Linked DNA regions of Callithrix jacchus. The protein of the gene in region 1 purifies or fractionates together with the protein of each later gene. This does not show direct contact. Links are inferred from orthologs where the notes say so. Each region holds a gene or a part of one and is shown in the gene's direction. Other genes may lie near its edges.

Region 1 (7,672 bases):
TATCTGATAATCTTGTCACTGCCTCTACTGCTACCACCTGGTACAGGTCTCTAGCGTCTTCACTTGATTTATTGCTGTTGCCTCCCAGCTGGGCTGCTTCGTTGTCTCACTGCTCAGCCATCATTCTGTTCTCAACATAGTAACCAGAGTGTCCTCTTCAGTAGAAGTCAGATCATGTCTCCCACTCCGCAGAACACCCCCATGGCTCCCCCCATCACCTACAGTAAAGCCAGAGTCTTTTTTTTTTTTTTGAGATAGGATCTCATTCTGTCACCCAGGCTGGAGTACAGTGGCATGATCATAGCTCATTGTAACCTCAAACTCCTAGGCTCAAGCAATCCTCCCATCCCGGCCTCCCAAAACACTGGGATTGCAGGTGTGACCCCCCTGCCTGGCCTTAAAGTCAGAGTCTTTCGTTGGCCTCTGTTACCTCAGAGACTTTTACCATTTTCCCCTCACTCACTGCTCAAGTCATATGGGCTCCTTGCCAGTCACTCTTTCCTTTTAGGGCCTTTGTACTTGCTGTCCCCTCTGCCTGAAATGGTCCTCCCCAGATAGTTACATGGCTCGTTCTCATTTTCTTAGTCGTTTATTTATGTATCACCTCAGCAAAGCTTACCCTGACAACTTTTTTCAAAATGTTGATCGCCCTCCCCTTCTAATGCCCCACTCTTTCTCCTCTGCCTTGTTTTTCTCTGTAGTTCTTATCTTTCGCTGATAAATAAGCATAATGTTGTGCATTGACTCTCTTCCTACCTGATAATATAAACTTGAGGGCAGAGAGTTTTTGTCCTTTTTGTTCTCTGCTGTTTCTGAGAGGCTAGGTAAAAGAACTTAGATTTGTTAAACTAATTGGAAAGTTTCGAGCAGAGGATTGGGGGGCATAAAACCTGTTTGGGGTGTGCTTAGGAGGAGAGCAGGTGGTTACACTTCTCTCAAAAGAGCTACAAGAGGGAGCAGGGAAATGGGTCAATAGTGGGAGAGCGATGTGTGGTTGGAATACATAGCAGGTTTGTGTGCTAGTAGCGTTCTTCAGGAAGGGAAGAGAGAATTTGCTGAGGTAGGGAAGACATGGGACAGTGCAGAAGTTTAGTCATTGAGGAAACAAGAGGGCATGAGATGCTGGTGCGCGCATGGAGAACTGGCTGAAAGAGGCGCACAGCCACTCACTGATGGGTGAAGGAGAGCGTGAGGACAGCCATGGGTAGGTCCCCTGGAGCGAGCATCTGGCTTCTGCGTTTTGACTGCATATTTTGTGTGACTCATTACACTATAATAAGTTACTTTTGTGGGTTGTAATTATTTGTGTAAATGAATTATTTCCTTTGTATAAGTTCTTAAGGCTGCGAATTGATTTTTTTAATCTTAAAAATTAGTATTTTCTTCACCATTTTTTGCCCTAGGTACCTAAACATCTTAGTGAATTAACGATTTTTTAAAAATGATCAATCAAGCAATAACAAAACTAAAACCAACCTCACCACCCCAGTAGCTTGCTCATGGACTGAGCCACTGAGCTAGGAGAAGTTTGACCTTTGTCCTCTGTGACTGAGATTGTCTCTTTCCTTTGTGCTCCATTCTGTTCACTTCTTCCCTTTCACCAAGGACTTTCTTGTGTTTCCCATCCCTGTGGAGGGTAGAAGTGCCTGATCTTTGGCATCACACCCAATCTGGAATCCTTCAGCAGTTCCTCTCCCAATATTCACAGTAAGCAGGTATCTAAAAGCCAGACGGCTGTTTGCCAGAGATACTGTGTTGGGAGTTCTTAAAACCTAGTTCCTCAGGAGAATGTGAACTCTCACCTCTGACATCCTGTATCCATAGGGAGTGTCACAGAACTATCCCCTGGAAATGCTGCACTCTGTGGTGCTCTTTGTTTCAAAGCACCAACCTGCTCTTTCGAGCCATTCAGGCCTTTTAAAAATGAGGTATACGTATTTAAAATTCTAATTTCACCACCACCGCCACGTAATTAATTCTATCAGTTCTTTGTTCATCACTTCTTCCCAAAATACCCTTTCTTATACTTCTCAGTTCCTCCGACCCTCAAAGGATGAGTTCCAACCCAGTAATTGGGTATGAAATCAGTCTAGTAGGTAATGACCAACAGTTTTTAAAAAACTGAATAGAAGATAGAGCACGCATAGTAAGAAGAGGTATTGTTTTATGAAGCTGGTTTCTTTTATTTTTCTATGTGTTTACGTAAGTGTATTTCTGCTGTGGGTCATGTTCAGAAACATTTGAAAACCTCTTTATCAGGCTTACATTTTGTTGAATGCAGGAAGAAGTTCATCCCTGTTTATCCCCAGGTCCAAGCTTACATAGTTTAAGAGATAGAGTACTATAGATCATTTTAGAAATCTGGCTTCGAGTCCCAACGTCTCAGCTCACTGCATATCAAAACCTGTCATGTATTTTATTTTATTTTTTTTGGATCTTAGTTCCCACATCAAAGAAATAAGTACATGCTATTTTTTATTCCAGTGGAATGTAAAAAGACTGCTTAATGAAATACAGTCGTCCCTCCATGTCCATGGGGGATTGGTTCCAAGACCTTCTGAGGATACCAAAATCCAAGGTTGCCCAAGGCCCTTAAATGAAATGGTGTGGAATTTGTCTATGACCTATGAACGTCTTCCCTTACACTTTAAATAATCTCTAGATCACTTACAGCTAATGTAGTGTAAATGCTATGTAAATAGTTCTTATTCTGTATTTTCTAAATTGTGGGGTTTTTTATTGTTATTTTTATTTGTGGGTTGTTTGGTCTGAGTATTTTCCATTCATGATTGATTGAATCCACAGATGCAGAACCCACAGATACAGGGGACCAACTGTAATATAAATGAAAGCACTTGAAATTCTCAGAGGCAAGGAACGATTCTTTTCATGGATGACCTTCAGTATCTCTTTCTGCTTGTTTTATCTGGAGAGCTTTTGCAGGAACAGGCATTTAGAAAGCCCTTGCAGAGCCCCCGCTCCTGGTAAAACTTACTTGCTTCAGGTAATTGAGGAGTGTCCTGTCTTGTTGACAGAGTGAATGCCTTTGGATTTCTTGGTCAATCAACCCATTGTTTGTCCACAGGTTCTGGCTTATGCTCAGACTCTGTATATTGGGAGAGAAACCATTAACATCCCCCAGAAATGTTTGTAATCGTACCTATGTGATTTGTATATTTTCTCTTTTTTTGGTCTCATTTGTACTTAGACAAAGAGGCAGCTGAACGTCTTTCGAAAACAGTAGATGAAGCATGTCTGTTACTAGCAGAATATAACGGGCGCCTGGCGGCAGAACTAGAGGACCGTCGCCAGCTGGCTCGGATGTTGGTGGAGTATACCCAGAATCAGAAAGATGTTTTGTCAGAGAAGGAGAAAAAGCTGGAGGTGAGTGCATTGAAAGGCAGACCCAGACTGCCCAAGTTTCCCTTCCTGTGGCCCACAATAGGAGGTTTTTATTATGCTTTGATTAACTACATTTTTATCATTGAAAAATTTATGATATGAATTCTGCATATCCATCAGATGCTGTAATTACTTGAACCAAGTTAAAAATTGAAGTCATGTTTTTATATGTCCAGGACAGAACAAATTAGACTCTAGGAAACAAACAGTGAACTCTTAATCACAGCCTTAGGAGCATAATACTGCTTTAGTTGCCAGGCTCAGTGGCTCACACCTGTAATCCCAGCATTTATGGGAGGCCGAGGTAGGTGGATCACGAGGTCAAGAGATCGAGACCATCCTGACCAACATGGTGAAACTCCGTCTCTACTAAAAAATACAAAAGTTAGCCAGGCGTGGTGGTGCACACTTGTAGTCCCAGCTACTCAGGAGGCTGAGGTAGAAGAATCACTTGAATCAGGAGGCAGAGGTTGCAGTGAGCCGAGATTGCGCCACTGTGCTCCAGCCTGGTGTCAGAGCAAGACTCCATCTCAAAAAAAGATTGCTTTAATTTTAACTCATGTTTAAAAAAAATTCTAAATTGAGGTACAAAAAGAAGAGCAGATCAGTGAAAACCAAAGAATATGCTTGGTAGTATTTGGGAAGTGTTAAAAAGCTTTTCTTCTACGTCATTTGGAGGTTTATCTCTGACTTGTATCCCTGCTGAGGCCAAGAAGTTGTCTGCCTCCATGATCTCTCTGTAGTCAGTTCTTAAATTTCACAGTAGTATTCATGTAGCCCCCAGTTCTCAAACTGTTGAGAACGAACTCATTTCTACCCTGGGTTGAGGACAGTCTGAGTGACCTTGGGGAGGGAGTTCAGAAACATTTCCTCACCATGTTTGGCTTTGTAATTAAGTACCTGGTGGCTCACCCTCGTGCTTGGTCCTGTGGGGATAACAGAGCCAGCAGTGTGAATGTCCAGGAACTTCTGCTGCCCCAGGCCGCTGCAATTCCTTTTCAGGAATGTCTGCTCTTCTTTTTTTAAGAGATGCGGAAGAGAGTTGGCAGCCAGTGGTTTTGTGAAGGAGGACGCTTCTGAGTTAGAGTGCCAGTCATGTTATGTTTCAAGAAATACTTCTTAAATCCCACTCAGAGTAAATGAAAGACGGAGCCATGTTGCCTCCGTGCTCAGGAAATGTGCTCTGGCACAGAAGGAGATAAGATTGAGCTAACTTAGAGGCTGAGATCATCATATTTGCCTTTCCACACAGTCGTCTGAGTTGGGAGGGGAAATGAGTAGTAGGCACTTTTTACCATAGCCTTACCTGCAATGATTATGGGAACTGTGATGGGTAGTGGTAGCAGGAGCTTCATATTCGTAGCCTGCTTGAATATGGAAGATGGGAAGGGCTGTAAAAATACTATGGCTTAGATTTAGACATCGGCACTGACCGGAGATCCTAAAGGGAGTTTCACGGCAGTACCAGACGGTCATTTATCTGAAATGCTCATCTTTCACTGAGGAAGCATTTTCAGCACTGTGCCCCGGGACTAATAAGAGAGTGTAATTAATGATTCTGGTTGTAAGTCACCATGCCATCTGTTGAACTGCCCCTTGGCGACACATTAAGGGCTTTCTCTGATCTGTCAGACATTGATTATCACGAGCAGCTGTTGTTGGGTGGAACGTGGCAAGCAACCATAGAGGACAGTGTCTTTGAGACCGGGTTGGTAGAACTGGTTAACTCTTTGTTCTGTTTTCCCTCCCCACAGTTGCACTCTCCTCTGTGTATTGTTGGGGAATCATTCTGGTTTCTATAGAACCAGTGGTTTCCTGGACGCTACGAGAGGGCATTAAGGTGGAGAAACAGATTAGAGATTTGGATCTCTTCAGTAACTTTCCAGTCTGCATTGCTCTGCCCAGTTCATTCAGTGGAATGGTGTTGGCATTCCATTGCTGAAGAAGCGGAACAGAAAGCCTCCCCCACTGGAACCAAAGTACAGAGCCTGAACTGAAGGTTTTTACCTCAAACCAGGCCTCCCAGGCACGTGAGCGGAACCATTGATTGTAAAAATAGAGCCAAACTTGCTGCATTTAAGAAAGCAAATGACTAGATACAATATAAGGTTTTGTTGTATTTCGTTTTGAGATGGAGTCTTGCTCTGTTGGAGTGCGGTGGTGTGACCTCAGATCACTGTAACCTCTACCTCCCAGGCTAAAGCGATCCCCCTATCTCAGCCTCCCAAGTAGCTGGGATTCCACGCATGTACCACCATGTCCAGCTAATTTTTTTATTTTTAGTAGAGACGGGATTTCACCATACTGGCCAGGCTGGTCTTGAACTCCTGGCCTCAAGTTATCTTCCTGCCTTGCAGTATAAGATTTGAGAGATGGTTTTAGTTCTTTTCTTTATCCATGCTTGCTAAAAATACAGGCAATCTGCTCTCCTGAACCTAAGATTTTTCTCTCACATTCTGTAATAGACTGGTCCTGTTCCATCACATCCCTGTGGTGGTGGCACAACTTGATAAATATGTGCCACTTGAAAGATGCGTAAATACTATGCGTTCCTTCAAACTGTCCGAAAGTCTCTCTCTGCGTGATGGGGCAGTACATAAAGTACCTGCTTTCTTAACACTCATTTTTGTAACACAGCCAGTCCATTTTAAAACTGCCAAATCAGAATGGTAATTACATCTTTTATTTTGTTAATCCTTTCATTGCCTTCAGTGTATACATACATGGAATTCTCAGAACTCTTTGGAGATGTGGTTATTTGCTTGGGAGTCCATTTTCTTCCCAGAGCTCTAACATACTTAGTTTTCTTTGTCCTTTCCTTCTTAAGTTGATATCTTGCTTTATGTAATAATTATCTTTTTCTCTTTCACTCGGGAATTTTATGTTGGTGGATTTTATGGAAGGAATTTTATGTCAGGATAAGGCATGTGATGATTCAAGAGCCTGGGATGTAGGAGAGGGAATTATAGCTCGAAGGAGGAGACTATGTTTCTTCCCTCAAGGAAATCATATTCTGGCATAAACAGCACAGGCGAACATAAAACCAAACCAACTGACTGTACCTAATGTAGATTAAGGAGGCGTTTGGCAGTTCTGATTGTGGTATAAGGTAGTCCAGACTTCCTCTCAGGCAATAAAACCTTTTTGTAAAAGGAACTAGCGGTTGAAGAAGAGTAGCGTGTTTATAAATCGGAGCAGTTAGACTGGGGCAGGCAGGTATCTGAAAAAACACAAAGCAGATGTGGGAAGGAGGTGCTGGAGACTACCAGTGGGGGCTTAAGGTCTGTGCTGTTGAAGAAGCTACCTCTTCGTTCAGGGAGTCAGCAAAGCCTGTGCCAGCCAGATGTACAAAGATGAACAAGATGCTCTTCTCCCCTCAAAGGGCTTACACTTGAGTTGGGGGAAACAGCAGCAAGCAAGGGGTTAATACAGAATTCAGGAAAGGTTGTCAGTAAGGAAAAATGTCAGTAAGACCTGTTTCTCCATTGAAATGACCAAGAAAAAAATGAAGATGCTAATAATAATTTGATCAGATGCTTATTAGAAATGTGCGAATTATCAAATCATGGGCAGTTTCTGAAACCATAATGCCTTCAGCAGGTCTCCCAGAGTGCTGGACTGTATGCTCTTTGAGTGCTCTCACAGTGCCAGGAACGTATTTGTTCCTCAATAAATATTCTGTAACTGAAATCCATCAATTGATGTAACCTTTTTTTGTAGAGAAAAGGTTTTGTTTTTTTAGGTTGCATTAAAAATGGCTTAACAAACCTGATTTAATGATTGATTGTAAAGAATATGTTAGTACAGAAAGGTAACCATTTTTAGCAATTTCTGTAGGTTTCTCTTTTCTGCTACTTTTCTTTTTTCCTTTAAGTAGAATTATGCTTTGTTTTGAGATAATCATTCATTGTTTTGTTTTGTTTTGTTTTGTTTTGTTTTGCTTTTGACTTTCGCTTCTGGGTGTCATGATTAACTTTGACCTATGATGTTGGCCCTTAAACACCAGGCATGGGTGGAAGGAATGCTGCTGAAAATCTGTTTGTAATGTTTCTGTCATGAAAATGAAAAAACCTAGAAATGGAAAAGAAGACATGTGGAAGGAGGCACAAATAGCAGCCCAAAGGGGAGATTAGGGAGTGTGGAGGGCATAGGAGAAAGCCTATTTGAAAAAGCAAAGGCCAAAGATGCCAGAAAAGCCTTCCAACTTCACTTCCAGAGCAAAGAGAAAGTATGTTTGTGGTTGACAGAGGTGACTCATTACTCCCAGGTG
Region 2 (8,103 bases), on another chromosome or scaffold:
GGGAAGTAAACATGACTGCATGCCGGGCACTGCCCCCGGTTCTCCTCTCAGGCCCTGAGCAGAGCTGCCCATAACCCAGGATGCCACATTGTTTCTGGAAAAGCCAGAGGAACAGGGGAGATTATACCTTCCATCTGCCCCGGAAGTATATACCACCACCCTGCAGAGACTTCAAGGCCTGGTATTCAACTGGGGCCTGGGGCAGGTTCCCAGATGTTTTGCTCTTTTTCTTGAGATGGAGCCTTGCTCTGTCGCCCAGGCTAGAGTGCAGTGGCACAGTCTACTCACTGTAACCTCTGCCTCCCGGATTCAAGCGATTCTCCTGCCTCGGCCTCCCCAGTAGCTGGGATTACAGGTGCCTGCCACCACGGCCGGCTAATTTTTTTTTCATTTTTAGTAGAGATGGGATTTCACCATCTTGGCCAGATTGCTCTCAAACTCCTGACCTGGTGATCCACCCACTTGGCCTCCCAAAGTGCTGTGATTACAAGTGTGAGCCACCGCACCCAGCCTATTTTGTCTTTTTAGTAGAGATGGGATTTCATGGGGTTTCACCATGTAGGCCAGGCTGGTCTCAAATTTCTGACCTCAGATGATCCTTCTGGCTTAGCCTCCCAAAATGCTGAGATTACAGGCATAAGCCATCGAACCTGGCTTTTTTTTTTTTTTTTTTTTTTTTTGAGACAAAGTCTCCCTCTGTCACCCAGGCTGGAGGATAGTGACATAATCTCGACTCACTGCAACCTCCACCTTCTGAGTTCAAGTGATTCTCCCACCTCAGCCTCCTGAGTAGCTGGAATTACAGGTGCCTACCACCACACCTGACTCATTTTTTAATTTTTAGTAGAGAGAGACAGGGTTTCACCATATTGGTCAGACTGGTTTTGAACTCCTGACCTCAAGTGATCTGCCAACCTCATCCTCTCAAAGTGCTGGGATTACAGGCATGAGCTACCTTGCCCAGTCCCAGAAGTCTGGATGATCTGATTGGACCCCCAGGCAGCTATCTGCAGCACAGGGGCTGGTGTTCGCCACAGAGCAGGCACCCTGGGAAGCCCTGAGGGGCCCCAGCTCATCCAGTGCCTGCTTCTCTCAACCTCTTTGGAAATCTGAACAGATTGGCAGCAACCGCCTCCACACAAAGCCTTGTCAAAGTATAACTTCAAATACATACAAAGAAAAATAGTAATGATTCATATATAGAATGAACACCCATCAAAGATCAATTACACATCAGTTCAGAAGTGTTCGGGAACTCTGAATCATGTATGATTCTGAGAATCTGGGTACATGTATTTCATGTATTTGTAAGTTTTTTTTTGTTTTTTTGTTTTTTGAGACAGGGTCTCATTCTGCCACCCAGACTGGAGTGCAGTGGTGCAATCATAGCTCACTGCAGCCTCGACGTCCTGGGCTCAAGAGATCCTATTGCTTCAGCCTTCTAAGTAAACAGAACTACAGGCACATACTACTATGCGCAGCTGATTTTTAAAATTTGTAGTAGAGACAAGATCTCGCTCTATTGCCCAGGCTAGTGTCAAACTCCTGGGCTCAAGCAATCCTCCCTCCTCAGCCTCCCAAAGAGCTAGGACTGCAGATATGAGCCACTGTGCCTGGCCAGTAAGCATTTTAAGAGAAGCAACCCAGACAAAGATTGTGATGTTAGATACGAACCAGTTAATGAAGTTTTCTTTTCTATGGGATAGAAACTGCAAGTTAATAAGTAACTTCAGTGTCTGGGCTGTAATCAAACAAGCAGGAAAGTCAACACAGCCACAATCCCTGAGATTAGGATCAGCAAACGTTTTCTGTAAAGGACCAGGCATGCAGCTCTGAGTCACAACCACTCTGCCACGTAGCACAAAAGCAACTACAGCCAACGTGTAACAAATCAGCATGGCGTGTGTGGCTGGGGTGGAGCTCATGCCTATAATCCCAGCACTTTGGGAGGCCAAGGTGAGAAGATCACTTGAGGCCAGGGGTTTGAGACCAGCTTGGGCAACAAAGTTGGACCCCCCCCCCCCCATCTCTACAAAAAGTAAAAAAAAAATAAATAAATAACTGGGTGCTGTGGTGTCTGCCTGTGGTCTTAGCTATTGGGGAGGCTGAGGCAGGAGGACTTGACCTCGTGGGAGGCCTGCCTCAGCCTCCCACCGTGGTGGGATTGAGCCCAGGAGCTTGAGGCTGTAGTGAGCTATGATGTCGACACTGCACTGCAGCCTGGGCGACAGAGCTGGTGTCACACCACTGCACTCCAGCCTGGGTGACAGAGCTGGTATCACACCACTGCACTCCAGCCTGGGCGACAGAGCTGGTATCACACCACTGCACTCCAGCCTGGGCGACAGAGCTGATATCACACCACTGCACTCCAGCCTGGGCGACAGAGCTGATATCACACCACTGCACTCCAGCCTGAAGACAGAGCTGATATCACACCACTGCACTCCAGCCTGGGCGACAGAGCTGGTATCACACCACTGCACTCCAGCCTGGGCGACAGAGCTGATATCACACCACTGCACTCCAGCCTGGGCGACAGAGTAAGACTCCGTCTCAAGGAGGGCCTTTATGCTAAACTGTAGTCTGCAAAACAGCCAAACCAAAAGGTAAGATAGACTTATCCACCAAGTGCAGTGGCTCAATCTTAGCCCTTTGGGAGGCTGAGATGAGAGAATTGCTGGAAGCCAGGAGTTCAAGACCAGCCTGGGCAACACAGCAAGACCCCAACTCTTAAAAGAAAACTAGCTAGGTGTGATGGCACGTGCCTGCAAGTCCTAGCTACTTGAAAGGCTGAAGTGGATCTCCGGAGCCCGGGAGTTGGAGGCTGCATTGAGCTATGATGGCACCACTGCACTCCAGCCTGGGCGACAGAGTGAGCCACTGTCTCTAAATGATAATAATATATAAAAAGATTTACATAACCCTCCGAGCTCCCTCTCACTGCTGTATACACCCGCCTCCTTCCCCATCCGTCACCCAACTGTCCCTCCCTTCTAACAAGCCAGTGGCATCCCAGCCAGGGGTCTCACAGCAGTCGGTGTAGGCAGCCTCGGCAGGGGGCTTAGCACAGATCTGCCTCTGGCCACGAGACCTTCCTCAGCTCCCCTCACGGCTGCCAGCCGCAGCTGCCCATTCCCCTTAGCTCTATTCTCTCTATTCAGGGGCCTCCTGCTGTGCACTCCAAGGGGGTGCACGGTTGCAAAGCGAGATCAAGGGTCGTGGGGAGCAGAGAGGCACAGCTTGGGGTTTCCACTCAGTCAGGATTAGGAGATCTCTGGAGGGGCAGAGCAGCCCTCCCGGCGCTCTGAGCATGCGCCAAAAAGCGCCCACGTTGAAAGCCACGAGGGGGTGAGGGGGTGGGAGTTGGGGGGGTGGGGCTTCCATACTGACGCAGGCGCAGAGGTACTGGCCTCGCTCGGGCTTTTCTCGCTCCTGCGCAAGATCCTCCAGCCCAATAGGGGGCGATGAGCTGGTCCCTACGCTAGTTTGACCCGCCAGAGTAATCCGGAAGAAGCCTCTTACTAGGGCTTCGGAGGCGGCGGCAGCGGACGCTTAGGGTCTGGACGCGGCAGTGGTGGCGGCGGCGGCGGCGGCGGCGGCGGCGGCGGCAGGAGTATGAACGCCCCTCCAGCCTTCGAGTCGTTCTTGCTCTTCGAAGGCGAGAAGAAGTAAGTGACGCCAGCTGGGAGGAGCCGAGGTTTGCGGGGCTGCGACTGTCGCATTCCGGGGGCGTTTCCTGCCCATGTCTTGCTCCGGGAGGGAAGCAGCTTTTGCCTGATAGTCCGCACGGCCTGTGTCGGCCAAATTTAAGCCAGTTCCGGGAGGCAGTGGCGAGTGTGTCCATTTGGCAGATGAGGACACTGAGGCTCGGAGGAGCAAGTTGCCCCAGACACGGAGGAGGTGGCGGGGCTTGTATTCGAACCCAGAGTGTCTGGCTCTCCATAGCCCTCTTCCTCTGGGACGTGGCAGCCTCCTCTCTTGTCTTCCGCCCGCCGCCTCCATCCCCCGTGTCCTTTGATTTGCCAACGGCCTGTGTAAAAGCCGCAGTGGCTTCTTGCTGCCTGCTGGTTGAAGGAGTCCCCGGGAGAGACAGCTTGGGCTTGGCCCCTGGGTCCCCCACTTAGCGACTGTATCTGTACGAGTGCCGTGATCTTTTGGAGGCCCTGTTTCCTTTTCTGGAAAATGGATTTGTTACTTTTCATTTTTTTCGAAACGGAGTTTTGCTCCTGTTGCCCAGGCTGGAGTGCAATGGCGCGATTTCGGCTCACTGCAACCTCCACCTCCCAGGTGCAAGCAATTCTCCTGCCTCAGCTTCCTGAGTAGCTGGAATTACAAGCATGCGCCACCACGCCCGGCTAATTTCTTATTTTTGGTAGAGACGCGGTTTCTCTATATTAGCCTGTGTGGTCTCGAACTCCCAATCTCAGCTGATGCTCCTGCCTCGGCCTCCCAGAGTGCAGGCATTACAGGCGTGAGTGACGGCCTCCGGTCTATTACTGTTCTTAAACATGGGATTTGGCCAGGTGCGCTGGCTCACGCGTTTAATCCCATCACTTTGGGAGGCTGGCTTGAGCACAGGAGTTGCAGGCTCCAGTGAGCTGTGATCGCATCACTGCACTCCAGCCTGGGCGACAGAGTGAGATCTTGTCTCAAAAAGAATTGGATGAGGTAATTTGTGTCAAGCACTTGGTCTAAAGCTCGGCACCTGGAAGACCTCATAACCACTGGCTCTTACTGTTCCCAGGTTGGCGTGCAGAGGTCTTGGTCTGGCCCTTGCCGGCCAGTTTGGCCTTTTTTTTTTTTTTTGGACAGTCTCACTCTGTCCACCCAGGCTGGAGTGCAATGGTGTGATCTCACGGCAACCTCCACCTCCATGTCCCAGGTTCAAGTGATTTTCCTGCCTCAGCCTCCTGAATAGCTGGGATTACAGGCATGCACCATCACATCCGGCTAATTGTGTGTTTTTAGTAGAGACCGGGTTTCTCCATGTTGGTCAGGCTGGTCTCAAACTCCCAACCTCAGGTGATCTGCCCGTCTCTGCCTCCCAAAGTGCTGGGATTACAGGTGTGAGCCAGTGCACCGGGCTTGGCCTCATTTTAGAGCAGACTCTCAGCTGGGGACCATTTGGCAATAATTGGGGACATTTATGGTGTCAAAGGGGGTTATGACTGGAATCTACTGGATAGAGGTCAGGGTGCTGCTGCTGTCCAGCAAGATAGCACCCCACAGGAAAGAATCATGCAGCCTAAAACGTCTGTGGTGTCAACATGGAGAAACTACCTTAGAAAAAAGGGGCAGTCAGGCACAGTGGCTCACGCCTGTAATCCCAGCACTTTGGGAGGCTCAGGCAGTTGGATCACGAGGTCAGGCGTTCAAGACCAGCCTGGCCAACATGGTGAAATCCCGTCTCTGCTAAAAATGCAAAAAAAAAAAAAAAAAAGCCGAGCATGGTGGCACACGCCTGTAACCCCAGCTGCTCAGGAGGCTGAGGCAGAATTACTTGAACTGGGGAGGCAGAGGTTGAAGTGAGTCGAGATTGTGCCACTACACTCCAGCCTGGGCAACAGAGCAAGACTCCATCTCAAAAGAAAAAAAGGAGCAGGCTAGGCATGGTGGCATGCGCCTGTGGTCCCAGCTACTCAGGAGGCTAAGGCTGGAGGCTACAGTGAGCTGTGATCACACCACTGCACTCCAGCCTGGGCAGCAGGAGGGATCACTTGAGGCAAGTTCAAGACCAACCAGGACGACAAAGCAAAACCTCATCTCTTCTAAAAGAGAGGGAGAGGAAAGACAAGAGGAGGAACTCCGAGAAGGGCCAAGGTTCCACAGACCTGGGGTAGGGAATCAGGCTGGAGAGGTCTTTATGGGAGGAAGAGATTGAGAAAGGTCTTCAGGAGGAGGCAGAGCTTTTCATTTTTATTTTTTTGAGACAGTCTTGCTCTGTTGCCTAGGCTGGAGTGCAGTGGCGCAATCTTGGCTCACTTCAACCTCCTCCCAGGTTCAAGTGATTCTCCTGCCTCAGCCTCCCAAGTAGCTGAGAACACAAGCATGGACCACCACACCCAGTTTGGGTTTTATTTTTAGTAGACAAAGTTTCACCATGTTGGCCAGGCTGGTCTGGAACTCCTGACTTCAGGTCATCCATCTACCTCAGCCTCCCAAAGGGTGGGGATTACAGACATGAACCACTGCACCTGGTCCGAAGGAGGCAGGGTTTAGACTTGGGGTGGGCGGAGGGGAGCCCCTGTCCCTCATCTGTGGCCTCTGTGTCTTCCTAGGATCACCATTAACAAGGACACCAAGGTACCCAATGCCTGTTTGTTCACCATCAACAAAGAAGACCACACACTGGGAAACATCATTAAATCGTAAGTTTCCCGTCAAAGGCTCTCAGGGGCTATGTTTAATAGGCGCCTCTGGGCAAAACAGAAGTTTTAAGATTTTCCTCCATCTCTCAGCTACAGGAAGTCCTTCTGGGGGCTTGCTCTGGGCATTTGGTAATGTTGGTACTTTATCAAAATGACGCTGACCTTCATGTCTTCACATAAGCTACGCTTCTGTAGTGGCTTATTCTGTAGACAAACGTGCATTTACTTTTTTTTTTTTTTGGGAGTTTTTGCTCGTTGCCCAGGCTAGAGTGCAGTGGCGCAATTTTGGCTCACTGCAACTTCTGCCTCCCAGATTCAAGCGATTCTCCTGCTGGGACTGGCCACCATGACCTGCTAATTTTTGTGTTCTCAGTAGAGGCGGGGTTTCACTATGTTGGCTAGACTGGTCTTGAACTCCTGACCTCAGGTGATTCACCTGCCTTGGCTTCTCAAAGTACTGGGATTACAGGCATGAGCCACGCACCCAGCCTTCCATTCACTGTTAAGTGCACGTTCTGTGAGTGAGTGAGAGCAGGTTCCAGCAGAGTAGGCCTGTGTGTTCATGGGCTGAGGGGCACTGAGCAGCAGTCAAGATTAGCTCCCCCAATGCCACCCCTATTTGTGACCTCAGTGCCACCTGGCACGCTTAAGATGTATGTGGCAGAGATGAGAACTTGTGTTTAACAAGGGAAAGAGGTAGGGGAGTTCTGTGGTTGTCCAGTGCCAGACAGGTGCCTGGCCTTGGTTCATGGGTGTTCCTTTACACCACTGAAGTCCTAGCTAGGTGGTTGATTAGGAATGTGACTGTCATTTCACTTGTAGACTTGGCTCTTCCCTCTGGTGCCATCAGTGAAGCCAGGCTTTTCCCAGGCTGTGAGAGGTGTGCCCAGGCACAGGGATGGAGGACTCCTCCCCGGAGTCCAGCCAGTGCAGCCCCTATGCTCTCCTCCAGCCCAGTGTTGCCAGCTGTGCACGGGTGTCCTTTGTGGTGCTCACAGGAGACCCTGCGTGCCCAGGGCACAGCACACAATGCTGCCCAGAGCCTGGGCCCTCCTCTCCTTGCTGCCTTTATTTGCTGTGGGATGTTCTTTTTGGGTCCGATTCATTGAACACTGGCTGGACATCCACTGCCTGGGAGATCTCTTTGCCAGCCCTGTGGTTCTTTGTGGGAAGAGGTTGCTGGAGGCTGTTTCCTGCTCAGGTCCTTCAACCTTAGGGGTGCAGGGAGGGGGTGTGTGTGTCTTCTCCCCTTCAACTTCATGCATGCAGGGTGTGTCCGAGTTGGGGGTGGGGTGTCCCCATATGATCTATCCTCCTGAAAGCATTGCTTTCCTTGAAGACTCTTGGGGGGGAAAAAAAAACCGGGGGGAATATTTGGCTAGAAAGCCTGTCCTTTCACTCTGAGCCGGCTTCTGCCTGGCCTGAGCCTAGAGGGCACAAGGCTAGATTCTCACACTGTCTTCCTTGGATTTCAGACAATTGCTAAAGGACCCACAGGTGCTATTTGCCGGCTACAAAGTCCCCCACCCCTTGGAGCACAAGATCATCATCCGAGTGCAGACCACGCCGGACTACAGCCCTCAGGAGGCCTTCACCAACGCCATCACTGACCTCATCAGCGAGCTGTCCCTGCTGGAGGAACGCTTCCGGGTGAGGGCAGGGCGGGCTGGATGCTGGGCCCCTTTGCCAAGCTGGTGACAGCCCTGGGCTGTTTCTTTGGAGAAGCGGTGCT
Region 3 (7,672 bases), on another chromosome or scaffold:
GGTTTGAAGGAATAAAAAGCAGAGGACAGTAGAAGGATGCTTGCAGAGAGGCTCCCCACGAGAGAGTTGTAAGGAAGTGAACTAGGAAGGAATTGGGAAAACTTTAAGCATGGACTAATTTACATGTAGTTGGCAGAGATGGCCGAAGTTTCCTATGTATATGGAACACCACTAGCAAAAAATAGGAAAATTCGGGGAGAGGAATAGATCCAAGGTTGATTTTACTTAGGGTGTGCGGAGGTGAGAGGAGAGCAGGACAGACATTTGGTTAAGTGAAAACCAAACAAAAGCTGGAGAAGCAGTCATGAGGCTCAAGAAAGAGAGAAATTGGAAAAATATAGAAAACATAGGAATTTCAGCTGTAGTGTTGTCAGTTGTGAGAATGAATGCATTGTCGAAAAGAACAGAGGACCCAGGGTTTAATTTTTTCTCTCCATTGATTCTATAAAGAAAAGGGAATCAGAAAAGGAACTCTGTTATCCAACAAAAGAGATAAATATTTGATTGGGGTCCAGACAGGTGTTTTGACCTTGTGAGAACAGGTTTTCAATCTATGGCAGTGAATTAACTTTCTGGTCTTGGGACTCCTTTATACTTTAAGAATTATTGACATCCCATGGAATTATTTATGTGTTATATCTAGCAAAATTCATTTACTTATCAGAAATGCAGCTGAAGTCTTTAAAACGTAAGTATACACAAGCACACATTCTATTCTAGAACAATGATGTCATCACATGTCATGTAGCCTCTGGAAAACTCCACTGTACCCATGTGAGGAAGTGAGAGGGAAATAACATCTTGGTATTATGATGAAAGTAGTTTTGACCTAATAGACCCATCCCCACACTCAACCCCATCCTCACATTTTGGAGATTTAATGACTGCTGGTTCTTGGAATGCCTTACGTGATTATTATATGCTTGAAGTACTTTTGCTGAAATTCTAATTTGCTGAGACAAATGAGGCATATATTCTCTGTTCCTGCATTCCCGTGTTTTTTGGGCTCTTTGGATAATGGCCATTTATTTGTTTTATTCCCATTTTGGAGAAGTTAGAAATCAGATATTCGATTTAAAAAATTGGCTTTTTTTCTTACAAGTTAATGCTTAGCTTCTTTAATGTTGTATGTCAAGTTTAAAAACGTGACTGTAATATATATGTATTCTTTTCCATTTGACAGAAAATTCATTTGCAAATTGCCCGACAAAGGTAAAAAGATTTTTGACTCTGTTGCCAAACTGAAAGCTGCCATTGCAGAACGTGAAGAAGTTAGAAGAAAAAGTGAACTGTTTCATGCTGTTAGTTTAGACTGTCAGCTAAGGCAAGAAGCCACTGCAGAGGTGGATGTCGATACAGATAAGGCCCGGAATTCTGACCAGATACTTGATGCTTCATCACTAGCTCCTGGCTGTTCCTCTGTAGATAACATCAAGTCATTTGAAACAACCTCACGAAACCAGGGACTTGGACGTCCTACTCATGAAGGTGATGAAGAGACTCCAGAGGTTGAGTACGCAGTGAGTAAGGGCCCAGCTTCCAGCAACAGAGACGGAGCGCCGCCTTCGTCTGAAGCTAGTGAGCATCACCCGCAGCATCGTGTTTCAAGTCAAGCAGAAGATACTTCCAGCAGCTCTGACAGCCTGTTTATTGACAGGTTACAGGGGATCAGCATTGCAGACCAGGGTGAACAACAGTCAGAAGAAAGCACAGGTGCCATGAACTTGACAGGCCTTTCTCATGCGACTCAGAAGAAGCCTCATTACATGGAAGTGCTAGAAACGCGAGCCAAAAACCCAGTGCCCCAGCTGCATACATTTAAGACCAATGTGTAAGTACCATCGGAAACAGGCCTGTAACAGGGGCATAGTATTTGTTAAACCTAAAAAGTTACGAGAAGCTGGTTGTGATGGTGCTTGTCTGTAGTCCCAGGCTTCTCAGGAGGCTGAGGTGGGAAGACAGCTTGAGGACAGGAGTTGGAGAAGGTTGGGCAACCTTTTCTTTTAAAAAAAAGTCAGGAGAATGCTCTAAGTTCCGTGGCTTTGTGTGAGAACTGCCTGTTAGAAAAGAACATACTGTGGAAACACAGACCAGCCTGGATGGAGTGGAAGATTCATGTTGAAAAATACTTAGTTTTGAAAAGGTCTTAAATAGCACATGGGGGAGTATTAAATTTCAGGCTGTGACCCGGTATTTCCTAATAAACAGGGTTGGAGAGAGAATTTATTATGACTTCTTTTTTTCGGAACCATTTTTTACCGTACAGCTCTGATTAGTGTACTATCAAAGTGTACTCACTGTGATTAGTCTGTGAACTAAGGGGAAGGCAGTTGCAGCTGGAGCTCATGGGCTTTCCAGCAGAAGAGATGTGCATGCTCACTAAATGTAAGCAAGCAGCAGGTGTTGTGGGGACACAGTGAAGTCAAAATTCTTAAACTCCTTTGCCTTATTAATGTTGTATCTCAAGTTTAAAAACATGGCCATAATGTATACACGTATAATGTAATAAACTCCCTGTTCTTCAGTGAGGTTAGGAGCTGGATGAAGACCCAAGGTTTACACACTTGCAAAAGAGTTAAACTACATACTAATAGTTTCAGGGAGAAGGAAGCTGAGAAGCGGTTTGAAAACTGTGAAAATAGATTCATGCAGGATGGGCAGAAACTCTGCTTATCAGTTCCTTGCCATAAATTTATTTCTGACATTTCAGGAAAAATAAAATCTTTTTGAAAAGAATTGCTATTTACTTGCAGCAAATGTAACATTCAGCTCGGGTAACTGCTACCTTCCCGTGCTGTATTTACAAGTACATAACATCAAATGCACCGTTAAATCACTACTACCATTCTCTGAAAAACAGAAGACCTCTAGCGAAAAGTACCTAAAACATGCGTCTTTTCTGTTACACTTTAACTCAACCCCAGCATTCATTTTAACCTGAAAACGTGATTTCTGCTGAATACAAAATCAGGACTATAGTATATTAATGTGGTCAGGTAATCTCTTGTATACAGTGAAGTACACGTTTCACTTCCAGGATGACATGTAGAAAACTAGAACCGTCATCTAGCCAATAAATACAACAAAGAATACATTAATCCCAGTTCTGTATTATGGTCATTTATGTAGGAGTTGGAGGGAGATAAGGGAATAGTGATGAGGGTTACCAAGAGTGCAGGAAGTTTAAGAGAGAGGGAGCCTCCTGTGTAGTTAAAGGAGAGCAGGAAAGGCAGGGCTTTGAGGAGTCCAGAGGCTACACACATGGTAAGAAGTGGCTTGGAGGCTGGAAAATGGGCTTAGGGAGTGTCCGTTTGAGCCTTTCTGCTCTTCCTTCTGCATACTCTTCTGGCCTCGTATATCACCTGGATGCTGGAGGCTGCCCCTTGTCTACCTCTACTCCAGATCTTCCAGAAGTTTTAGGGTTACATGGCCAATTAGCCATAACACTTGACCACTTGGGTGTTCCCTGGCATCTCAGCTTAATCATGTACAAAGTGGCACCCCTGTTTCTTTCCAAGGTAATTTCCATATTCTCTAATAGTGTCCCCACCTTCTTCTTGGTTTTCTTCCCCCAAGGTATCTTTCATTTTTCTCATCTCCTTATCTGCTCACCATGAAGACCTACGTAATGTATTTTCCTTGATCTTCATCTGTATAATTGTTCTTCATCTTCTGTCAGAGTGAAGACACTCCCCTCTCTTGGGCTACAACTGTGGCTTCTTCCTGCCTCTAGTTTAACTAGCAGTCAGTCTCCACTGCTGCCAGAGTGAAATTTTAAGATGGAAATCTGAACTTGTTCTGTTGACCTTCTCATTGCAGTCTGGGCTCATCCTACTTCCCAGCCCTCTCTGTGGCCGTCTTTTCTGTATAGCAGAAAAGCTGGGTGTCTGTGCCTGCTGTGCTTCCTCTCACTCCCCTTGCTGGGATGCACTTCTCTCCTCATTTAAGGGGTAAGCAGTTATTATTCCAAGACTGTTCAAATGTCACTTCTTGGAAGCTTTTCTGACAACCTCCCTGTCTCCCACGGGAACTGGCCATTTCCTTATGTTCCAGTGTATCTCGTTGAGGTATCTGTCATAGTACCTCTGGTATTATATCGCACTGAAACTTTACATGTTTATTTCTCTCTACGAGGCAGTAAACCCTTTTGCAAATGTTCATTGAATGAATAAGTGAAAAAAGAAAAGCTCCAGTTAAAGTATAAGGTTTGATGAAGGAAAAGGCAAAGAGCCTGTATGCGCAAACACACTCCTATTTGTCAGCGCAGTGAATATTGGGAAACTGCTTACTATTACCTTTGGAGGAGAATTGATTGCTAAGGTTAAAGGCCTTTTGTGTGAATGGTTTAAATGTGTCTACAAATAAAGAAAATAGTCTGTGTGACACAAGTTTTCCTTTTATCAGATTACCTTCTCGACAAATTGATTCATCTGGTGACGGTCAGAAGAGAAGGTCTCCCATTTCCGCAGAAGAGCGGCGGCGCAGGGATAAGCAGCACCTCGATGACATCACAGCAGCTCGGCTTCTGCCCCTTCACCACACGCCCGCGCAGCTGCTCTCCATAGAAGAGTCTTTGGCACTTCAGAAACAGCAGAAACAGAATTATGAGGTATTTAGAGTATTGTTTTTCTCTCGTCTGTTTGTTGGGTGCTGCTTACATAAGTCAGAATTTATTCCAGGTTCAAGGAGGATGGACTGGAATAGAGGGGATTAGGTGCTTCCATGAGCTGAGACCTATACCACTGGTTTTCAGAGTCACAAAGTTGGTAGAACTGCAGGAAACAGCTAGAGATGAACAGCAATCTGCAACATTAAAGTGGGTTTTTGGGAGGCCGAGGCGGGTGGATCATGAGGTCAAGAGATCGAGACCATCCTGGTCAACAAGGTGAAATCCCGTCTCTACTAAAAATACAAAAATTAGCTGGGCATGGTGGCGCATGCCTGTAATCCCAGCTACTCAGGAGGCTGAGGCAGGAGAATTGCCTGAACCCAGGAGGCGGAGGTTGTGGTGAGCCGAGATCGCGCCATTGCACTCCAGCCTGGGTAACAAGAGCGAAACTCCGTCTCAAAAAAAAAAAAAAGTGGTGCTTTGCCAGAAGATGTGGGGAGACTGCTGTAGAATTTCAGGTCTCAAAGCTCACGCACCTGCCTGTTCTGTTAGGATAGTCGTGGCATCGCATCCCTCCCTGTCTCTCCCTTTCACCTTGTAAAACCCATGTGGCAGCTTCTCAGTGGTGGACTCTAACCCAGACCCCTTCTAGAATGAGGAAATGTAGTTCCCAGGCTTCTGTCTCCTGCAGTACAGGGGAGGGCATAGAAGGAGTGGGAGGATAGTGTTGTTTAGCCGGCAGACTGTCCTGTCTCATTTCCTAGATGTTGCTTATTTTGATTTCAGTCAGGTACTAGTGCACCAGTTAGTATAACAGCAGGCTGCACAGAGCAAGACCGTATCTTCGCAAGAAAATTAGCCAGGCATTGTGGCACGTGACTGTGGTCCCAGCTACGTGTGGGGCTGAGGTAGGATTGCTTAGGCCCAGGAGGTTGAGGCTTCAGTGAGCTGCAGTTGCACCGCTGCACTCTATACAGCCTGGGTGACAGAGTGAGACCCTGTCTCCAAAAAACGAACAACAAAACAGGCTGATAATCTGCGTTGGCTTTTCATAGAAGGCTTGGCATGGATTGGCGTTTTCAAGGTGCTATTGTTTAAAAAAAACCCATTTTTCTTTCTCTCAGTGCATTAAAATGACTGACTAGTCATGACCGTAGCATTGAGGAAGTGTTGCTTAAATTGTCTCTGGGCTCTTAAATGCCGGTTCTAAGATATTTTTAGGTTCAATTAAACCTTCGGCTTGAAATTGGTTTTCTTGGGAGAGAGGTTGTGGTAGTAATGGCTCCGACTTTTACTTACCCATATTCATGGCTTGAAGTGAAGGACATGAAGAACCTCAGGAAAGCGTGAGAAAAGGGAAGAACGGAATTAGGAGTGACTTTGCCAGCTGCCGTCAGTTGGTGGTAAGGTCCCTGGAGGTTTGTAAGCACATTGCCAGTGTCTGAAATTTACTTGGACTTTTTGTTGAATACTAGTTGCTGTAGGACTTTATGTGGCGAGAAATAGCTTCTTAGTATTAATTTCTTGATTTTTATTTTGCCATTGAAATTCAGTTCTCAAGTCTAGAAGCTGTGATTGTGATTAGGGAAGAAGGTTCTGTCAGTTGTAGAAATGTAGACAGTGTTAGTGATTTTTGACATTTGATAGCTCAAGTTGTTAGGCGAGTGCGTATATATGTGCACATGCCCACATATTCAATGCATCTGAATTTATAAGTATTGTAGTGCTAAGGTGATGACTCATTTTTTTGAACAGAAGAGTGTATTTCAGTGCAATGTTGTTTATTAATGGAGGTCAGTAACTTCAACTGTAGCAGGCTGGTGGCTGTTAGAAGCATTGCTCTGTTGTGTCTGTGATAGGGCACAGCCATCAGGCTCGCATTGCCAGAGACAGTACTCAGTGAGATGTCAGTGCCCCTCTTATTTCTGATTCTAATAACTTCCCATTGAAAAATTGTAAGGAAGAGATGTGACTATGTAACTTTTTGCTTTGCTCTTTGTTTTAAAGGAGATGCAAGCAAAGCTCGCTGCGCAAAAATTAGCTGAAAGACTGAATATTAAAATGCGGAGTTATAATCCAGAAGGGGAGTCTTCAGGGAGATACCGAGAAGTAAGGGATGAAGATGACGATGGGTCCTCTGACGAATTCTGAAGATAATCTCCTAAATCACTGACGTTGAGATGTCATCATCTTACATCAGACTTTCCAACTAGTATCAAGATCAGTGTCAGATAGTGTAGAAGGAAGTCATTTTATAAAGTCACACAAAGGTAGTTATAAAAAATCCCATTTGTCTTTCGGAAGATGGCTTTCGTGTGCTTGAAAAGTTTAATATTTGAATATTGTGTTTAACCACATTGTATTACAATTTTGCCGTGTGTTGTGTATTGGTCTGATATTTTAGTATACAGTAGAACATACTTTATTTCTTTACGCCAAATGAAAAGAGGTGATTTTGCTTTTTTCCTTATGCTTACCTATCAAATAGCATTTATTCCATGTCTCTCAGTGACATACTTATTTGTCCCAGGCATCTAAAATCTGTGAGGAAGACATAGTTCGCTTCTTTTTTGGGTAAGGAAGGGAGCAGTCTAAAGAGCTGTATGCACGTTGGCATGGGGTTATTGAGACACTGGATGTGAAATACCTAGGAAGACATGCATGGAAAATGCTTAAATGCGTTTGTCCTTTTTTCTGTCTTTCCTTAGGAAGAATGTTAACTCTTTTGATTAGGAAGGAATTCTTTTTTGAGTGGATGCTGGAGGGTGGAGGTCTTTTTAAATAATCTTCTGTTACTTCAGGCAAATCTGGTATAGGAAAAGTCCAAGCTAACTGCGCTAGGTGAAGGCTTGTGCATCACCTGACTTGAGCTCCTTGCTGTCACAGATGATAGGTTCATGTACAGAACATGAATGTTTCTTAAGGAAACCAGTTTTCTTTTTTGTTTGTTTGTTTGTTTTTGTTGTTGTTACAATTGAATTGTCAGTACTTAGCTTTTCTTGCTGAAAGAGGCATATATAGACTGCAGAGACCCCAGTCTCATATATAAACGTCCATGTCATT
Region 4 (7,672 bases), on another chromosome or scaffold:
GTTTTGAGACAGGGTCTTGCTCTGTCGCCCAGGCTGGAGTTGAGTGTAGCAATCTCAGCTCACTGCAGCTTCTACCTCCCTGGTTGAGGCGATCCTCCCACCTCAGCTTCCCAAGTAGCTAGGACTAAAGGTATGATCCACCACACCTGGCTAATTTTTTTTAAATCTAATTTTTGCTCTATTGCCCAGGCTGGAGTGCGGTGGTATGATTTCAGCCCACTGCAACCTTCGCCTCCAAGGTTCAAGTGATCCTCCTGCTTCAGTCTCCCAAGTGGCTGGTATTACGGGTGCCTGCCACCATGCCTGACTAATTTTTGTATTTTTAGTAGAGATGGGGTTTCACCATGTTGGCCAGGCTGATCTCGAACTCCTAACCTCAAGTGATCTGCCTGCCTCAGCCTCCTAAAGTGCTGGGATTACAGGTGTGAGCCACCATTCCCAGCTATTTTGTGTTTTTTGTAGAGATGAGGTTTTGCTGTGTTGCCTAGTCCTGTCTGAAACTTGTGGGCTCAGGCGATCTGCTTGCCTCAGCCTCCCAACGTGCTAGAATTATAGGTGTGAGCCACCTATAATAAGCCTGGCCTAGAGGTTTTTTTTTTTTTTAAACAACAGCTTTATTAAGATATCATTCGTCTGGGTGCGGTGGCTCATGCCTGTAATTCCAGCTTTGGGAGGCTAAGGCGGGCGGATCACCTAAGGTCAGGAGTTTGAGACCAGCCTGGCCAACATGGTGAAACCCTGTCTCTACTAAAAAGGTACAAAAAATTAGCAGGGTGTGGTGGTGTGCACCTGTAACCCCAGCTACTCGGGAGGCTGAGGCAAGAGAATTGCTTGAATCTAGGAGGTGGAGGTTGCAGTGAGCTGAGATTGAGCCATTGCACTCCAGCCTGGGTGACAGGGCAAGACTCCGTCTCAAAAAAACAAAACGAAACAAGATATAATTCACGTACCATAAAGCTCACTCGTTGCAAGTGTATGGTTGTTTTAATCTGTTCACAGAGTTGTGTGTTGATCATTACTATGTAACTTCAGAATATTTTCATGATCCTAAAAAGAAACCCCATACTCATTACCAATTACTCTTTATTTTCCATTCCTCTCAGTCCCTAGTGGCTACCCATTTTCTATTCCCATTGGCAATACGATTTCTCCACAACCAGTTCCTCTGTAACCTCGCCAACATTTGTTGTTGTTGTTTTTGATTATAGCCATTCTAGTGGGTATTGTTATCTCATTGTGGTTTTTAACTTTTATTTCCTTAATAACTAATGATATTGAGCATCTTTTTAATGTACTTATTGGCCATTGGTATATATTTGTAGAAATGTCTATTAAAATTCTTTGCCAATTAAAAAATATTGATATAATTTTTAATTATATCAAATTAATTCACAAAAAAGTCAGTACATTTCATAAAAATAGCTTTACTGAGATAATTCACATACCATACAATTCACCCATTTGAAGTATATAATTCAGTGGCTTTTAGTATATTCATAGAATTGTGCAACAATCACCACAGTCAATTTTAGAAATTTTAATCATCTCAAGAAGTAACCTGATATTCTTCAGCTAGCACTTCCCTATCCCATTCCTCCCATTTTTCTACCTCTGTTCCACACACCACACTCACCCCACCCTAAGCAACCAGATATTTCCCAAGAGATTTACATCCTATTTTTGCTTCTTTCATTTTTAATGCATTGTGTTTCTGTAACTATAATAGATTCCCCTGTGATCATTTGCAGCAACTTATGGTCTGCTGTTCCTGCCCATTAACGTGAATATTGTTCATTGAACAAGGTGTAGGGGATCATCATGTGTAGTTTGAGGGCAATAGGAGGAAGTTAGATTTGGCAGTGTGAAGAGCTTATTCCAGTGTTGGATAACCAGATGTTTATCGTCTTACATGACGGAATATCCTTTAGCATAACACACATAACACTTTTTTAATGATCTTTCTTGACATAGATATGTGTTGATTGACACACCTGGACAGATTGAGGTATTCACCTGGTCAGCTTCTGGGACAATTATCACTGAGGCCCTTGTGAGTATTCTAGGACTTGCTACTGAGAGTAGCTAGAGGGGCTAGACTGAGTGAGAATTTATTTTTAATTGCCTTGGATGTTATATGACAGGGAGTTGTAGAAGCTCTGCAAACCCTTCCCAAAGTGGTTTTCCCTTGCTAAGGATGGTAGAAAAAGAGTTTGAGGACAGGTTGTGAGCCCTCTGACCAAGGCTTTGATTATTTTGTGGCTTTAGGCATCCTCATTTCCAACAGTTGTCATCTATGTAATGGACACATCAAGAAGTACCAACCCAGTGACTTTCATGTCCAACATGCTCTATGCCTGCAGGTAATTGCTTATTGGTGGGCAGTGTTCCATCAAGGTACAAGGCCTTTTTCTCTTCTTCTTCCTCTTTGTTTTTGAATCTGGTTGCTTATCCCTGGATTTATGCTCATTCATATTTGCTATTCAGTTGAGTGGCTGTGAGTTGAGGAAGGTCAGAGGAGAAAAGAGGCACATGTGCTGTTGGCGTTCCCTCTCAGTACGCTCTGATCATCCTCCCTTATTGTTACAAAAATAGGTGATGTATGAATATGAGCTGTCTGATAGTTGTTCCCAGTTGAATAAAATCCAAGTGTAAATAGAACAGAGTCCTCTGGACTGGGTCTGTCATCCCAGCAATTGGGAGGCCAAGGCGGGAAGATTGCTTGAGCTTGAGAATTTGAGATGGGCTGGGCAACAAGACTCTACCTCTACAAAAAATTAAAATTAGCCAGCATGGTGGCACGCCCCTTTAGTCCCAGCTACTTGGGAGGTTTAGGTGGGAGCATTGCTTGAGCTCAGGTGGTTGAGGCTGTAGTGAGCCATGATTGTGCCACTGCACTCCAGCTTAAGGCAATAAGACCCTGTCTCAAAAAAAAAAAAAAAAAAGGAAGAAGAAGAATAGAGTCCTCTGGCCTGAATGATTGCTGATAGAGTGAAATTGTAACATGAGGAGATACCACGAATAAGAGAATTTATCCATAATTGTAAAATGCACAGGTAGCCAGGCATGGTGGCTCATGCCTATAATCCCGGCATTTGGGGAGGCTGTGCTGGGAGGATTGCCTAAGCCAAGGAATTTGGGACCAGCCTGGGCACCATGGTCAAACCCCCATCTCTACTAAATATACAAAAACTAGGCATGGTGGTATGTGCCTGTAGTCCCAGCTACCTGGGAGGCAGAGGTGGGCGGATTACTTGAGCCTGGGAGGCCAGACTACAGTGAGCTGTGATCATGTCACTGTACTGCAGCTTGGGCAACAGAGTGAGACCTTGTCTCAAAAAACTAAAATGCACAAATTTGCCCCAAATGTGGCACCATTAGCAGAGGAAGGGCATGCTTCACTGGATATTAGTGCATTAAGACTGAGGAGCAAGGCAGACAGTTATTAAAGCTCAGGGAATTTAATTTTAAGGGTACACAAAAGCCATCACCAACATTTGTCTCTTCTAATATGACAAAGGATGTGCCTTTTTGTTGTATGCAAGAAATATTGATCCAAATAGAAATCTGAATATTGACAGCATTATTTTATTTTCATATTGTTTATTTATTTATTTATATATTTTTTGAGATGGAGTCTTACTCTGTCGCCCAGGCCTGGAGTACAGTGGCATGATCTCAGCTCACTGCAATTTCCACCTCCTGAGTTTAAGCGATTCTCCTGCCTCAGCCTCCTGAGTAGCTGGGATTACAGACACCCATCACCATGCTTGGTTAATTTTGTATTTTTAGTTGAGATGGGGTTTCACCGTGTTGGTCAGGCTGGTCTCAGACTCCTGAGCTCAAGTGATCTGCCTGCCTTGCTTGGTCTCCCAGTGTGCTGGGATTACAGGTATGAGCCACTGTGCCCTGGCCCATTTTTATATTAATTGTTTAAAAGACAATTATTTGATTTGTCTGATAGTGGTAATCATTTCTTTAAAAAAATAATTATTTTTTTATAATCATTTCATGATTAAACATACAGTTTAAATATGTTTAACTGTTTAAATATGTTAAACATACAGTTTAAACATACTGGTAATCATTTCATGATATAAACATACAGTTGACCCTTGGACAATTTTGGGGTTAGAGGAGCCAGCCCCTTTGGTATGGAAGACCTAAATATAACTTTGACTCCCCCAACATAATTACTAAAGGCCTACTGCTGATTGGAAACCTTGCTGGTAACATAAACAGATTAACACACATTATATATATTATATACTGTATTCGTATAATAAACGAAGCTAGAGCAAATAAGGGGAAGATATATTAACTATTCATTAAGTGAGGTAGGTCATCATAAAACTCTTCATTATCATCATCTTCATTTTGAGTAGTCTAAGAGAAGAGGTTGGTCTTGCTATTTCAGGGCCGGCAGAGGTGGAAGAAAAGCTGCATACAAATAAACCTTTCAGTTCAAACCCATGTTGTTTAAGGGTCAACTGTGCATCAAAATACCCTGTTACACACCTTAAATCTATACAATTTTTATTTGTCAAGTACACCTCAGTAAGGCTGGGGGTAGAAACATTTAAAAAACATTACTTTACAGATTGGAAAAAATTTTGATGTTCTTTTCCCAGCCTTACTGAGGTATAATTCACAAACAAAAGTTTTATCTATTTACGTGTCATTTGTAAAGCATAAAGGAGATAATACGTATAAAAGTGCTTGTTAGCGCTGTACCTAGATCACCCAGGTTGAGTATCCCATATCCAAACATTTGAAATCTGAAATGCTTCAAAATCTGAGACTTTTTGAACACTGACATGACACTCAGAGGAAATGCTTATTGGAGGATTTTGGATTTTCAGATTTGGGATGCTTAACCAATAAGTATTTACAAATATTCCAGAATCTGAAATCCAAAACACTTCTGGTTCCAAGTATCTCAGATAAGAAATTCTCAACCCGTAATCGGTATTCAATAAATGTTCATTTCCTTCTCTGAAAAATACCAATTTGATAAAAAACAAAACAGCAAGTTCAATACTAGGGCATTATTACTTCAAATGAGAGTGCGAGTGTGTGTGTTGTTTCTGGGTGGTGGTTATTTTCCTGTTGGGAGAGAAGATGTGAGTGTTATGTAAAATGGATAGGCTGGGCGTGGTGGCTCACACCTGTAATCCCAGCACTTTGGAAGGCTGAGGTGGGTGGATCATGAGGTCAAGAGATTGAGATCATCTGGGCCAATGTGGTGAAACCCGGTCTCTACTAAAAATATAAAAATTAGCTGGGCGTGGTGGAGTATGCCTGTAGTCCCAGCAATTGAGGAGGCTGAGGCAGGAGAATTGTTTGAACCAGGAGGCAGAGGGAGCCAAGACTGCGGCACTGCACTCAAGCCTGGTGGCAGAGTGAGGCTCCATCTCAAAAAAAAAAAAAAAGATGACTGCTTTTTAGATTCTGAACTCATTCCCCTTCTCTTAGTCCCAACATGCCGACACTGGATGAGCAAGAGCTTATGTGCTTTTTAAAATAACATCTCAATGTTTGGTTTTCAGCATCTTATACAAAACCAAGCTGCCTTTCATTGTGGTCATGAATAAAGTAAGTGTATTTTTCCTGTTGTGATTCACCATTTTTCATCAGAACCTTGTGGTTAGAAGGTTTGGGTGGGTCAGAGGATTATTTCAGATGCTGGAGACCAGATTCAGGCTTTACTGAAACAAATTCATAGGCACTTTGAGAAAATGAATCAATCAAATTGAATAAGTAATTGTTACTAACTCTTGTCTAAAACTATTTTAGGTAAGGTAGAGTAGCCCCTCAACCATAGTGTGTAGATTATCCCTCAGAGTCAAGACTGTAATTACGAGAGGGACAACTAGTCTACTGGGAGTGGCAATTAAAAAACACAAAACTTCCCTGTTGGTTGATGGCTAGGATGCAAGAGACCTTTTGACTTCAGAGCCTGGAATATGCTGGTGTCCATTCTGGCCCTGGTTACTTGGCAATGGATAGTGGAGGGTCAACTAAGAGAATACACATCTTCATTTAATTACGATGACTACACAATGATGGTGTTTCTTTGTGGCTTGTTGCAATGGAGGGGAAATAGAAGCAGAGCAAGAAAATAATATGGATGATATGCTCTTTGCTGTCACTACTTAATTTAAATAATAAAATTTGCCTTTGTTATCTCTGGTTTCTCATAATTGACTTCTCTCTGGTACAGACTGACATCATTGACCACAGCTTTGCAGTGGAATGGATGCAGGATTTTGAGGCTTTCCAAGATGCCTTGAATCAAGAGACTACATATGTCAGTAACCTGACTCGTTCAATGAGCCTGGTGCTAGATGAGTTTTACAGCTCACTCAGGGTAAATTTTCTCTCCTGCTTACACTGACGGCCTCTCCAGATTACCTGTTAACCCACAGAACTGGCTTTGAATCTGGCTGAGAAAGGAAGCTTATTACCTATTGAAAAATAACTTTTAAATCATTGCTTATTAAAAATTGTAGAGTGTACAAGAATAAGATAGGGACCCCAACTTCTGTTTTATATTTGGGAGAGAAGGCTACACATAGAATTAAAACATACGATATATTGTAGTAAGTACTTTAAGAATGATTGGAAGTTGGGCTTGATGGTGAGGCAGCAGATCAAAATGACCGATTTTGGAGGTTGTAGCATTAGAGGTATGCTTTGAAGAAGGGTAAGATTTATGTAAGCAAAAGCAGAGCGAGTTAATTGCCCAAGCAAAGGCATAGACAAAAGAATCATAGAAAGTGATTTGGTTTGGTTTGTTAGGGAATAGATAATAAGTCTTGTTAATTTTTCAGTTCTAATTATATCTTTTTTTTTCTTTTTTCCTTTGGAGAGGATCTTGCTTTGTTACCCATGCTGGAGTGCATTGACATGATCACAGCTCACTGCAGCCTTGAATTCCTAGTCTCAAGGGATCCTCCTGCCTCAGCCTCCCAAAGTGCTGGGAGTATAGGAGTGGACCACTGCCCTCAGCCCATATCTTTCTTTTCCAATTTTTTATTTCCCATGGACTTATTTCCATGACTTTTTTTTTGAGATGGAGTTTCGCTCTTGTTACCCAGGCTGGAGTGCAATGGCGCGACCTCGGCTCACTGCAACCTCCACCTCCTGGGTTCAGGCAATTCTCCTGCCTCAGCCTCCTGAGTAGCTGGGATTACAGGCACACACCACCATGCCCAGCTAATTTTTTGTATTTTTAGTAGAGACGGGGTTTCACCATGTTGACCAGGATGGTCTCGATCTCTTGACCTTGTGATCCACCCGCCTCGGCCTCCCAAAGTGCTGGGATTGCAGGCGTGAGCCACTGTGCCCGGCCCTCCATGACTTTTGAGTAGGTGTGCTGTTTTGTTCTTTTTTAGCCTGGCTTTTTGCCAAAAACTTCTCAAAGTATAAATCTCTTTTCATTAAGATTTTTTGACACTTGAACAAGTTAATGTACATCATTAAGAAATATACAGTGGTTTTTATGATGCTTTTTGGCAGGTGGTGGGTGTCTCTGCTGTTCTGGGTACTGGATTAGATGAACTCTTTGTGCAAGTCACCAGTGCTGCTGAAGAGTATGAAAGGTGAGGATAAAGGAAAATTCTATTGATGACATTTTAATAAGCTACAATTCTGATATGATAGCAGTTTTTCC

Evidence for each region.
Region 2: the proteins of RPRD1B (region 1) and POLR2J purify together in Homo sapiens (affinity purification with mass spectrometry; 3 studies listed by BioGRID and IntAct, counting the BioPlex papers as one, with this or other methods). This does not show direct contact. The link is inferred for Callithrix jacchus from reciprocal best matches to the Homo sapiens genes RPRD1B and POLR2J.
Region 3: the proteins of RPRD1B (region 1) and POLR2M purify together in Homo sapiens (affinity purification with mass spectrometry; 3 studies listed by BioGRID and IntAct, counting the BioPlex papers as one, with this or other methods). This does not show direct contact. The link is inferred for Callithrix jacchus from reciprocal best matches to the Homo sapiens genes RPRD1B and POLR2M.
Region 4: the proteins of RPRD1B (region 1) and GPN1 purify together in Homo sapiens (affinity purification with mass spectrometry; 3 studies listed by BioGRID and IntAct, counting the BioPlex papers as one, with this or other methods). This does not show direct contact. The link is inferred for Callithrix jacchus from reciprocal best matches to the Homo sapiens genes RPRD1B and GPN1.

Annotation. Positions count from the first base shown.
Region 1 is NC_133506.1:33,507,145-33,514,816, forward strand, and holds part of RPRD1B (regulation of nuclear pre-mRNA domain-containing protein 1B), read left to right. Parts: intron 1-3,208; coding exon 3,209-3,384; intron 3,385-5,156; coding exon of another isoform or gene 5,157-5,204; exon of another isoform or gene 5,205-7,172; intron 7,173-7,672. UniProt on the Homo sapiens protein: Interacts with phosphorylated C-terminal heptapeptide repeat domain (CTD) of the largest RNA polymerase II subunit POLR2A, and participates in dephosphorylation of the CTD by RPAP2. Transcriptional regulator which enhances expression of CCND1.
Region 2 is NC_133503.1:11,370,111-11,378,213, forward strand, and holds the start of POLR2J (DNA-directed RNA polymerase II subunit RPB11-a), read left to right. Parts: upstream 1-3,546; 5' UTR 3,547-3,618; coding exon 3,619-3,671; intron 3,672-6,281; coding exon 6,282-6,371; intron 6,372-7,846; coding exon 7,847-8,021; intron 8,022-8,103. UniProt on the Homo sapiens protein: Core component of RNA polymerase II (Pol II), a DNA-dependent RNA polymerase which synthesizes mRNA precursors and many functional non-coding RNAs using the four ribonucleoside triphosphates as substrates.
Region 3 is NC_133509.1:3,680,607-3,688,278, forward strand, and holds part of POLR2M (protein GRINL1A), read left to right. Parts: intron 1-1,183; coding exon 1,184-1,831; intron 1,832-4,404; coding exon 4,405-4,609; intron 4,610-6,616; coding exon 6,617-6,760; 3' UTR 6,761-7,672.
Region 4 is NC_133515.1:87,404,307-87,411,978, reverse strand, and holds part of GPN1 (GPN-loop GTPase 1), read left to right. Parts: intron 1-1,971; coding exon 1,972-2,050; intron 2,051-2,265; coding exon 2,266-2,360; intron 2,361-5,546; coding exon 5,547-5,592; intron 5,593-6,220; coding exon 6,221-6,367; intron 6,368-7,518; coding exon 7,519-7,601; intron 7,602-7,672. UniProt on the Homo sapiens protein: Small GTPase required for proper nuclear import of RNA polymerase II (RNAPII). May act at an RNAP assembly step prior to nuclear import.